3 linked regions of the Stegostoma tigrinum genome follow. The protein of the gene in region 1 interacts with the protein of each later gene in a pairwise test. Links are inferred from orthologs where the notes say so. Each region holds a gene or a part of one and is shown in the gene's direction. Other genes may lie near its edges.

Region 1 (3,746 bases):
AAAATGCAACATGACAATTGTGGATCTTTCCTCCCGTTCTGTTGCTGTTAGGGACAGGTGTACATGGCTCCATAAGGGATGTGTTAGTAGGTGCCCGATATGTAGCACAGGTCAGCTGCATTGCAGCAATGTCTGTCATGCGGTGACTAAAGATGCAAAGTAATGACTCATGGTAATTCCAATATCTAATAGGGCTATAGATAACCAAGCATGGAGCTGGAGGAACACAGCAGGCTAGGCAGCATCAGAGGAGCAGGAAAACTGACGTTTCGGGTTGGCACCCTTCTTCAGAAGGGTCCCGAACCAAAATGTCAGCTTTCCTGTTCCTCCAGCTCCACACTTTGTTATCTCTGACTCCAACATCTGCAGTTCTTGCTATCTAATAGGGCTATGTTTCTTTTAGTTTCAGGCCAAGAAAGAACAAGAGAACAGTGCCCATTATTCAAAGGGGGTGGCGAGAGAGCAATCTCTGGAACAAGGAACTATTTTTTCACAATTGACTCCCAGAAAACAAACTTTTAAAAGTTGTACAGCTTTAATCAAAGAAAAACAGTGGCAGTACTTGTCTAAGTGTCTGGATTGCAAACTTTTATTTTACTTGAAGTAATTTACTATGTGTGAAGTGCTTCAAAACGTATCTTGATAAATGTGATAAGATGTTGTATAAATGCAAATTTTTCAAAGACTTTGTCTTTATACGTTAGTTTCAATCATCTTCCATTGGGGACAGATTTTATGAGGCTGTAATCAAATATTTTCCATCGGCACAGGATCATGAACATGTAACAAAACGATTAGGCCTGGGGTAATTTCAGATGGTGCACTTTTGCTGCCAGCTTAAGACCAATCCTGTGGTGCAGGTTCTTGTTACCTCTGTGTGGATCACTGGATTCGGTGTCTGTTGCCAAGTTCACCTTGGGGCCACATGGCAGCCGACAGACAATGTTGCCGTCTCCCTCAGTGTTTGGAGGTAATGCGAAGTAGAAATCCATAAGTGAGAGGAAATTGGAAATAAATAGAAATTAATTCGCAAATGGAATGAAAATAGGGGAAATGGGTGAGAATTCTAATGTACAAAGAGAAAATTGGGAGAAATGGGAGCGACAGTGCGAGGAAGTTAAACCAAATGGGAGTAGAATTCTCAAATGGGTGGTAGGGGGAGAATGAGTGAGAGGAAAATGAGGGGAGAATGAAGAAAATGAGAATTCCCTAAGCAAATAATGCCTTGAGCCGCAGTGTCATCAGAGAAAAAGTGTCTCCTCCATTTTAAAGAAGGACACAGCACATCAAGGATCAAACAGAATGGAAAATATATTAACAATATTTCTGACATTACCCTGCTGTACTGCGAGCTCTCTTAAACAGCAGAACACATTCGTCCGGCCCTCGGAATCCGGAACATCGACACCTCAGCTTCCGGGGCTCGGGATGCATTTTTATTTTTGGTTTCTCCGTCGGTTTGTGTCAAAGTGAAATACGCGGAGGGGACTCAGAGCGGACTGTTCCTCCCCCCACAGACCACAGCTCGAGGCGGCCGGGAGGTGGGGATGGGGAATAGCTAGGCCTCAGCGACCCCGAAGGAGGAAGAAGGTGGGTTAAATGTCGACGTTATGAGGCCAAGGATCTGAGTGACTCCTTCGGGCTTCAGCGCTGTCTGTTCCCGGCACCGACCACCGCCATCGTCCGGTCCCGGAGCCGGTTGCTAAGGGAGGAAGGGGTTTACCTCCCGTTGCTAAGCGAGGCCCCTTCCTCCCGTTGCTACGCGCCCCTCCTCCAGTTGCTATGCGGGGCCCCGGCGTGGAGGATGCATCCAGCTCCCGAGGAGATGTCTTGGTCTCGGGGAGATTGATGACAAATTGTCCGGGGATCCAGGGATTTCCTGTTTAAAATCTGCAGCGGACCAATGGGAGTTGACGGAAACAACAAGGCCTTGGAGTTTAGAAGAGTCAAAGATGATTTCTAAGATGTAAGATCCTGAGAGAACTTGACCTGGTGGACGATTTCTTCTTGTGGGAGAATCTAGAACTAGGGGTCACGGTTTAAAAATAACAGATCACTCATTTAAAATGGACGGGGTTGGGGGGGGGGGGGGGTTGGTGGAGGTGAAATGAGTGAGAGTCTCTGAAATTACTTTTATCCAAAAGGAGTTTCTGATGAAGGGTCTAGGCCCGAAACGTCTGCTTTTGTGCTCCTGAGATGCTGCTTGGCCTGCTGTGTTCATCCAGCCTCACGTTTTGTTATCCCAGAATCTTTACATGTTGTTTGAGGAGGCGGTAGCTGGATACTTGATGACCAAGGGAATGAAAGATTATCGGGGTCTGCAAGAATCTGGAGTTGAGGTTAAAATCAGATCAGCCTTAATCTTATGGAATGGTGGAGCAGGCTGAAAGGGCCAAGTTAATGGTAGGGCCTGGAGAGTGTTGTCGAACACTGGAAAGGCTTACAGGTTCAAGTACATAGCTCCTTGAAAGGGGTGTGACATTTAGACAGGTTGGTGAAGAAGTTATTTGGGACGCTTGCCTTCATTGGTCAGAGTATTGAGTATAGAAATTGGGACATCATGTTATGGTTGTACAGGACATTGGTGAGGCCACTTTTGGAGTACTACGTACGATTCTGGTAGCCCTGCTAATAAGAAGGATATTATTACATTGGAAAAGGATACAAAAACAAACTTACAAGTATGTTACTAAGACTGGAGGATTTGAGTTATAAGGATAGGTTGAATAAGCTGGGACTTTCACATTGGATCATAGGAAGCTAAGGAGTGACCATATAGAGGTTTATAAAATCATGAGGGTCATAGATAAGGTGAATAGCAAAGGTCTTTTCTTTATGGTAGGGGTGTTCAAAACTAGAAGGCATATTTTTAAGATAGCAAGAACTGCAGACACTGGAATCAGAGATAAAACAGCGTAGAGCTGGAGGAACGCAGCAGGCCAGGCAGCATGAGAGGAACAGGAAAGCTGGCATTTCAGGTTGGGACCCTTCGGTGAGAGAGGAATTATTTAAAAGGACCTGAAAGGCAATTTTTTCACACAGTGGGAATGATCTGCCAGAGGAAGAGGTAGATTCAGGTACAGTTACAACATTTAAAAGACATTTGGACGGGCACATGAATAAGAAGGGTTTAGAGGATTGTGAGCCAAATGCAGGCAAATTTGAGTAGTTTAGTTTGGGAGAGCTAGTTGGCGTGGACCAGCTGGACCGAAGGGTCTGTTTCGATGCTGCATGATACTATGACTCGATAAATAGCCTACTTTTATTCCTTATTGGTACATATGCATTCTGGTACCCTCTGGTTGGGGTGGATATGCGCACAAACCAATTTGTTTCCTTTTCCTGGACAATCTTGCAGTATTGGAACAGGATGTGTAAGGAAATATTCAGATTTCCTCACTTGAAATCTTTAAGACCCATTTTAGATGTTATTTCCATTTAAAAGTTTCTCATTAATATTGCCACTGTATCAGCAGGGCATGTTCAAGCTCTCCCTCATGATTATAAATAGTTTTCACAAATCTCTGCCCTCACCCTCCCCAACATCCCACACACATATATCATCTCTGCTGTACTGAAATAGAAAATCTTATCACATACAAAGGCAGAACCAGGGCAGGCTAAATAATTAAGCCTTTCTGACAGCTAATTCGAAACAATGACTTGAGTTCGGTAATTTTCCAGATTTTATAGTAATGCATAGCAACCAGTATTGCTCACAGGAAGTAGTTGGTATCTGTTGAAAA
Region 2 (3,746 bases), on another chromosome or scaffold:
TCACTGGAAAACTGCAGCAGAAATGTTGGCATGGGAACACAGTGGTGCGTTGAAGCGGCAGGCAATTGGAAGCTCAGGGTCAATTTTACAGACAGAACTTGGGTATTCTGTAAAGTGGTCACCCAATCTGCGCTTCATGTCTCCAATGCAGAGGAGACCACATTGTGAGCAGCGAATACAGTAAATTAGATTGAGTGATGTGCAGATAAATCACTGACTTACCTGGGAGGTATGTCTGGGACCTTGAATGATGAGGACAGAGGATGTAAGCGGGCAGGTGTTACACCTTCTGCGATTACAGGGGAAGGTGCTGTAAGTTTTGGGAGGTGTTGGAAATTGACGAGTGGGCCAGAGTGTACCACAGGAAACAGTCACTGCGGAGTGCTGACTAGGGAGAGAAGGCGAATATGTACCTGGTGGTAGCAAGCAACTGGAGTTGACAGAATGGTGGCATATAACCCTTTGGATGTGGAAGTTGGTATCATTATTGTGGGACAGAAAGGGTGATGGCAGGAGAGCGGGGAATGGGTCGGACATGGATGTCAATTGTAGTAGCAGGGAATCTTTGTTGGGGGATAAAGATGAAGGTTTCTGAGGCATCTCTGAGGAAGGTGGTATCGTCAGAATAGACGTGATGGAGACAGAGATTATCTCTTTATCTGTTTTGAGTTAGTTAGACAGCCCTCAATCTGTGCTACATCACTCCCCTAACCCTTTTATATTGCATCTTCTCAAATGCCTTTTGGACATCCAAATACACTGCATCATCTGGCTCACGGCAGCTTCAAAATACTCTATTACATTTATAAAAAATGATTTTCCTGTTATACAGCTATGTTAACTCTGCTGGATTGTGCTATGGTGTTTCTAAATTAAAACTCATTGAGATCTCCCTTAGATAGTAGGAACTGCAGATGCTGAAGAATCTGAGATAACACGGTGTAGAGCTGGATGAACACAGCAGGCCTGGCAGCATCAGAGGAGCAGGAAGGCTGCTGGTCCTGCCATGTCCATCCGGCTCTACACCGCGTTGTCTGAGATCTCTCCTCTTGCACACTGAACGTGCCACTTTTCAGGGCACTGCGCATGCGACTTTGCCGTGGAGCTGAACCCGCCCATTAAGTGCCCAATGACACGTGGTTCAGTGGTGGCTCCGCCTATTGAGGTCGCGTTGCGCAGACGCACTTCGGGACGGGTTCACGGCGACGATGTCGGATGCGGGGAGTGGGTTCGCGGAGCCCGGGTCTGACGATGGGCCGAGGCCTGCGCCCGGGTCAGGTACCGGGGACCCCATGACCTGGTGGTACCGCTGGCTGTGCCGGATCGTGGGGGTACTCGGCGGAGTGTGTAAGTGCCGGGGGGGGGGGGGGGGAGGAACCGGAGTTATACCGGCGCCGGGGATCAGTCCCTGAGTTCGAGCCTTTATGTGTATCTGCCTCCCCCGTCCACCCCCCCCTCCCGTCCCTCCCCCCCCCCTCCCCTCCCGCCCGTCCACCCTCCCTCCCCGCCCGTCCACCCTCCCTCCCCGCCCCCCCCGTCCCCCCCCTCCCTCCCCCCCCGTCCCCCCCCTCCCTCCCCCCCCGTCCCCCCCCTCCCTTCCCCCCCTCCCTCCCCCCCCCGTCCCCCCCTCCCTCCCCTCCCCCCCCCTCCCTCCCGTCCCTCCCCTCCCCCCCCTCCCTCCCCTCCCTCCCGTCCCCCCCCCTCCCTCCCGTCCCCCCCCTCCCTCCCGTCCCCCCCTCCCTCCCCTCCCCCCCCCGTCCCCCCCTCCCCCCCCGTCCCCCCCTCCCTCCCCTCCCCCCCTCCCGTCCCCCCCCTCCCGTCCCCCCCCTCCCGTCCCCCCCCTCCCGTCCCCCCCCTCCCTCCCCTCCCCCCCCCGTCCCCCCCTCCCCTCCCCCCCCCGTCCCCCCCTCCCTCCTCCCCCGTCCCCCCCTCCCTCCTCCCCCCTCCCCCCCCCGTCCCTCCCCCCCCTCCCCCCCCCGTCCCTCCCCCCCCTCCCCCCCCCGTCCCTCCCCTCCCCCCCCTCCCCCCCCCGTCCCTCCCCTCCCCCCCTCCCCCCGTCCCCCCCTCCCCTCCCCCCCCTCCCCTCCCCCCCCTCCCCCCCCCCTCCCCCCCCCCGTCCCCCCCTCCCTCCTCCCCCCCTCCCCCCCCTCCCCCCCCTCCCCCCCCTCCCCCCCCGTCCCCCCCTCCCTCCTCCCCCCCTCCCTCCCCTCCCTCCCCCCTCCCTCCCCTCCCTCCCCCCTCCCTCCCACCCCGTCCGTCCCTCCCCCCCGTCCCCCCCCTCCCCCCCCCTCCCCCCCTCCCCCCCCCTCCCCTCCTCCCCCCCCGTCCCCTCCTCCCCCCCCGTCCCCCCTCCCTCCTCCCCCCCTCCCTCCCCCCTCCCTCCCCCCCCCGTCCGTGTCCCCCCCCGCCCCCCGTCCCCCCCCCGTCCCCCCGTCCCCCGTCCCCCCCCCGTCCCCCGTCCCCCCCCCCCGTCCCCGTCCCCCCCCCTCCCCGTCCCCCCCCTCCCCGTCCCTCCCCTCCCCGTCCCCCCCCTCCCCCCTCCCCGTCCCCCCCCTCCCCCCTCCCCGTCCCTCCCCCCTCCCCCCTCCCCGTCCCTCCCCCCTCCCCCCTCCCCCCTCCCCGTCCGTCCCCTCTCCCCCCTCCCCCCCCCCCGTCCGTCCCCTCGGCCCCCCCCCGTCCGTCCCCTCGGCCCCCCCCCCGTCCGTCCCTGTTCCCCCCCCGTCCGTCCCTGTTCCCCCCCGTCCGTCCCTGTTCCCCCCCCGTCCGTCCCTGTTCCCCCCCCGTCCGTCCCTGTTCCCCCCCCGTCCGTCCCTGTTCCCCCCCCGTCCGTCCCTGTTCCCCCCCCGTCCGTCCCTGTTCCCCCCCCGTCCGTCCCTGTTCCCCCCCCGTCCGTCCCTGTTCCCCCCCCCGTCCGTCCCTGTTCCCCCCCCGTCCGTCCCTGTTCCCCCCCCGTCCGTCCCTGTTCCCATTGAACAGTCACAGTGATGGAGCCTCTGGGCTTAGAGAGAAGCCGCCCCTTCCCCCAGTCTTCGTGGGAAGGCAGTCTCTGTCCAGGGGCTGCCTATAGATTCCGGGGGTGGGGGATCTCTGTCCGGGGCTGCCTATAGATTCCGGGGGGGATCTCTATCCGGGGTTGCCTATAGATTCTGGGGGTGGGGGATCTCTGCCCGGGGCTGCCTATAGATTCCGGGGGTGGGGGATCTCTGTCCGGGGCTGCCTATAGATTCCGGGGGTGGGGGATCTCTGTCCAGGGGCTGCCTATAGATTCTGGGGGGCGGGGGGAGAATCTCGGTCCAGGGGCTGCCTATAGATTCCGGGGGTGGGGGATCTCTGTCCAGGGGCTACCTATAGATTCTGGGGGGCGGGGGGAGGATCTTGGTCCAGGGGCTGCCTATAGATTCTGGGGGGCGGGTGGAGGATCTCGGTCCAGGGGCTGCCTATAGATTTCTGGGGGGGGAGGATCTCGGTCTATGGGCTGCCTATAGATTCCGGGGGTGGGGGATCTCTGTCCAGGGGCTGCCTATAGATTCCGGGGGTGGGGGATCTCTGTCCAGGGGCTGCCTATAGATTCCGGGGGGCGGGGGGAGGATCTTGGTCCAGGGACTGCCTATAGATTTCTGGGGGGGAGGATCTCGGTCTAGGGGCTGCCTATAGATTCCGGGGGTGGGGGATCTCTGTCCAGGGGCTGCCTATAGTTTCCGGGGGTGGGGGATCTCAGTCCAGGGGCTGCCTATAGATTCTGGGGG
Region 3 (3,746 bases), on another chromosome or scaffold:
CTGCCTGTTTTCAAGTACAGTTCAGGATACAGTAACAGGTGAACTACATTCGGATAATGGTGAAGAAATTAATACAGGGATGGATGCGAGTATAGGTTGGTGGAGTATATGAAGAGAGTACGTGAGTTCTGGATGTGAGTTTGCTCGCTGAGCTGGAAGGTTAGTAGAAAACTAACCTTCCAGCTCAGCGAGCAAACTCACATCCAGAACCTCAACCTGAGCTACAAATCTTCTCAAAATTCGCTAGAGCATGTGAGTATAAGTGAGAAAGTGACTTCAGCTACAAAGAGAACACAGAGTGTAAAGACAAGTACAGGTGCAGATCATAGAGAGGATATAGGCACAGGTGAGAATATGTGATGCAAATGAGGAATGAAGGTTCAATTGAGGACTTGGCTAGAGGTATAGATATAGATCCTGGGTACAGATATGGTGAGGATATACTTGCAGGTGAAGGTGCAGGCCTGGTTGAGGTGCTGATAAAAGGTGCTATCACTGTTGAGAATGCAACTGCAAGGAAGAGTAGCTACTATAGGTAAGGGTATGGTTGCAGATGCCACATAGATGAGATGAGATTCTGGTGTGGCTATGGGTAAGGATGCAGGGTATGGGTGAGCATACCCTGTACAGATATGTTGATAAAGGTGACGGTTATGGGTCTGGGCAAAACTACAGGTAAAGGGGGATATGAGTGAGGATAGCAATGTGAAAATGGATGAAGGTACATATGCAAATATGAGTCGGCTATCAGGGTGATAGGGGTGTGGATACAGCTGCAGATATGAGTGGATACACCGTCGTGATTGGGGTACAAATCTCACAAACATGGGCCTCCATCCAATCAGAGCCTTGGAGACGCCAATCCCGCCTAGCTCCCTCATTGGTAGTCGTCACGAGTACACGCGTGCAGCACGCCCAACTCGTCGCCGGGCGACAGCCAACCAGCGCCAGGGGAGATATTGGACCAATCAGCGGCGGGTTATCATCCCGTCCCCCGCCACGGCAAACAGATCGAAAGGCAGGAACCCCGGTGACAGACAGGCGGCGGTGCAGCCAATCGACATCGAAAGCGGCGGATGTTCCGCCCTTCCACATGGCGGGACCATGTGTCTCCAAGCGACCAGTGAGGGGGCGGTGACGGGAGGGCGGACGAACTAACCAATCGGATAATGTACTTTGGTAATGGGCGGGCAGAGGGGCCAATGGTACTGAAAGGCTTAGTGATAGACGACAGCACTGACCAATTGAAGTGAAAGAAGCTGTAACGGCTACCAGACCGACCAATCGAGGTGGAGAGTTGATGATTGACGGTTGGGCTGACTAATCGGGTGGAGGGGGTGGTGACGCAGGGCGGGGCGGGATTGTGGAGGAGAGGAGGGGGATGTTGTTGTTGTGGAGTCGGTTGTGGTGATTTTGCCGGACGGCACAGGGCAGCTCGGTTCGACTGGTATCCGCTATCACAGCGGCATCGCACGGATTGTCTCCCGGTGCAGGTTTGTCTGTCGGCGGGCGGGGGTCACTCACACGGCGGACCGCAGACGGCAGACACTGAGCCCTGGGTGGAGGACGGGGCTGGGGGGCAATGGCGGTCATCGCCCTCCTGTCAGTTTGTGTCCGCCGGGGGCAGCTTGCTCAGGCTTTCACACAGCACTCGGGGCTGGCTGAGCTCGACACCTTCCTCCATGGGGGAGGGAGCCTGGACATGCCCCACAGGGTAATCCTCCCAGTGTCTGTACAACACAACAGGACTGGGGGAGGGGGATCTGTTTTGGGGGGGGGGGGAGGAGAGGATCTCCGGGAGAAGGGGATCTGTTTTGTGGCCGGGAGGAGAGGATCTGGTGGGGAGGGGGATCTCTTTTGTAGGGGCAAGGACAGGATCTCTGGGAGAAGGGGATCTCTTTTGAGGGGGGAGGAAAGGATCTCTGAGAGAAGGGGATCTCTTTTGAGCGGGGAGAAGGGGATCTCTTTTGAGGAGGGGAGGAGAGGATCTCTGGGAGAAGGGGATCTCTTTTGAGCGGGGAGAAGGGGATCTCTTTTGAGGAGGGGAGGAGAGGATCTCTGGGAGAAGGGGATCTCTTTTGAGAGGGGAGGAGGGAATCTCTTGAGGGGCGAGGAGGGGATCTCGGAGAAGGGGATCTCTTGCGGGGAGGAGAGGATCTCAGGGAGAAGGGGAATCTCTGGGGTGGAGGAGAGGATCTGTGGAGGAGGAAGGGTGCTGGGGGGGAAGAGGATCTGTGGAGGAGGAGGGGGTCTGGAGGGGAGGAGGATCTGTGGATGAGGAGGGGGTTGCTGGGGGTGGAAAAAGTTCTTATTGATTGATTGTATTGTTGCTGTGGGTGGGGGTTTGTTTGTTGTAGATGTGTGTTGTCGTTGGGGGGGCGTATGTTATGGGTTACAGGGGTTTCTGGTGGGCATGTGTTTCTTGGGTTTGTGGTGTATGAAGAGGTTGGGTTATTGTAACTGTTACCAAAATATATTGTGGGTGGCGTTGTGCTGAATTTGTGGGTAGGGAATGAGGTGGATGGTATTGCCATACTCTGCTTAGTGTAACACGCTGAATGTATGGATGGCTGACTGACAGGCAAACAGATTTTCTGAAGGCTAGTACAGACAGTCAGCATTATGAACAGCAAGAGCATGAATGCTAGGACCCCAGATCTGCAATCTTAAGTTCCCATCTGTGAGAGTCCATCTCCCTGATCTATGGACATGTTTGAGATTGTTCACAGGGCTAGTGATTCCACTCTGACAGGCAGTGTTGTGTAGTTTAAAAACAAACACAAAAGTTGGCCATTAATCTGCTCACTGATGTAAACTTCTTAAGGGGGTGGAGCTCCTGCAGAATCCATGCAGCATTTGCCAGAATTTTCTTGACTGTAAAATTTCGAGTAGAGGGTGTCCTCTTTCTTTCAAGGTCACTTTTTTCTACTGAGATTGCCGTGTACTTTAGGTAGTAGTCAGGGAGGGGTGAAAACATTTGAATCAGTATCTCGTACACTGGGTTATAAGATTTCCCATTAATGTAGAATTGATCCAGAGTCTAGTAAGCTGTTGTATTTTTCTTCAACCCTCCCTTCCATATGATTGAGAGACATCCAGAACCAATGCGTGGTGTTATTTTAAATCCTGCTGCTTGGATCTTTCAGAATATACAGAATAGAAACAGGCCATTTGGCCCACCTGGCCTGTGCTGGTGTTGGGCCTCCTCATGTGTCTCCTTTGGCGAGCTGATTTTAATCCGCCCACTGTTAATGTCTGTGTCTTCTGTTACCAGGCCCCTAAGCTTTGAAATTCTCCGACTGTTTCAGTGAAGCTCTCATTAAAACCCACTGCTCATACATGTTTTTAGTCATTTGCTGTAATAACTCGTAGCTTGGTATGAAACATTAATGTTTTTGTGAAGGATTGGAACTTTCCTAATAAAGGTGCTATATAAATGGACATCATTTTAATTTGAACCCAAACAACAAGTCCTTCTATTCCTTTCTGCCACATGTTTATCCAGCTTCCCTTTTATGGCTGCTTTTTGTGTTAGTCAGTTCCTCATTCTGATCCCTGTCCATATAAAGAAGTTTCTCCTAAAGTTCTTTTCTTTTAAATTTTTAAATTCCCATCTTTTACTTAAAACGGTGATCCTGGATTCTTCCATCAGTAACTATTTACCCTATTGAATCTCTCATAATACGAAAGACTTTGTGTGGTTCACCCCTCTGAGTTCTTTTTTTTCCAGAGAAAAGCACCCAGGC

What was found.
Region 2: the proteins of lipid droplet assembly factor 1-like (region 1) and cacfd1 interact in binary tests that used the Homo sapiens proteins (3 or more experiments, as listed by UniProt). The two-hybrid records come from large-scale screens. The link is inferred for Stegostoma tigrinum from reciprocal best matches to the Homo sapiens genes LDAF1 and CACFD1.
Region 3: the proteins of lipid droplet assembly factor 1-like (region 1) and coq8aa interact in binary tests that used the Homo sapiens proteins (3 or more experiments, as listed by UniProt). The two-hybrid records come from large-scale screens. The link is inferred for Stegostoma tigrinum from reciprocal best matches to the Homo sapiens genes LDAF1 and COQ8A.

The regions. Positions count from the first base shown.
Region 1 is NC_081376.1:49,103,178-49,106,923, reverse strand, and holds the start of lipid droplet assembly factor 1-like, read left to right. Parts: upstream 1-847; 5' UTR 848-970; intron 971-1,259; exon of another isoform or gene 1,260-2,061; intron 2,062-3,746. UniProt on the Homo sapiens protein: Plays an important role in the formation of lipid droplets (LD) which are storage organelles at the center of lipid and energy homeostasis. In association with BSCL2/seipin, defines the sites of LD formation in the endoplasmic reticulum.
Region 2 is NC_081382.1:43,821,702-43,825,447, forward strand, and holds the start of cacfd1 (calcium channel flower homolog), read left to right. Parts: upstream 1-1,186; 5' UTR 1,187-1,208; coding exon 1,209-1,347; intron 1,348-3,746. UniProt on the Homo sapiens protein: Transmembrane protein which mediates synaptic endocytosis and fitness-based cell culling.
Region 3 is NC_081357.1:9,938,159-9,941,904, reverse strand, and holds the start of coq8aa (atypical kinase COQ8A, mitochondrial), read left to right. Parts: upstream 1-1,365; 5' UTR 1,366-1,493; intron 1,494-3,746. UniProt on the Homo sapiens protein: Atypical kinase involved in the biosynthesis of coenzyme Q, also named ubiquinone, an essential lipid-soluble electron transporter for aerobic cellular respiration.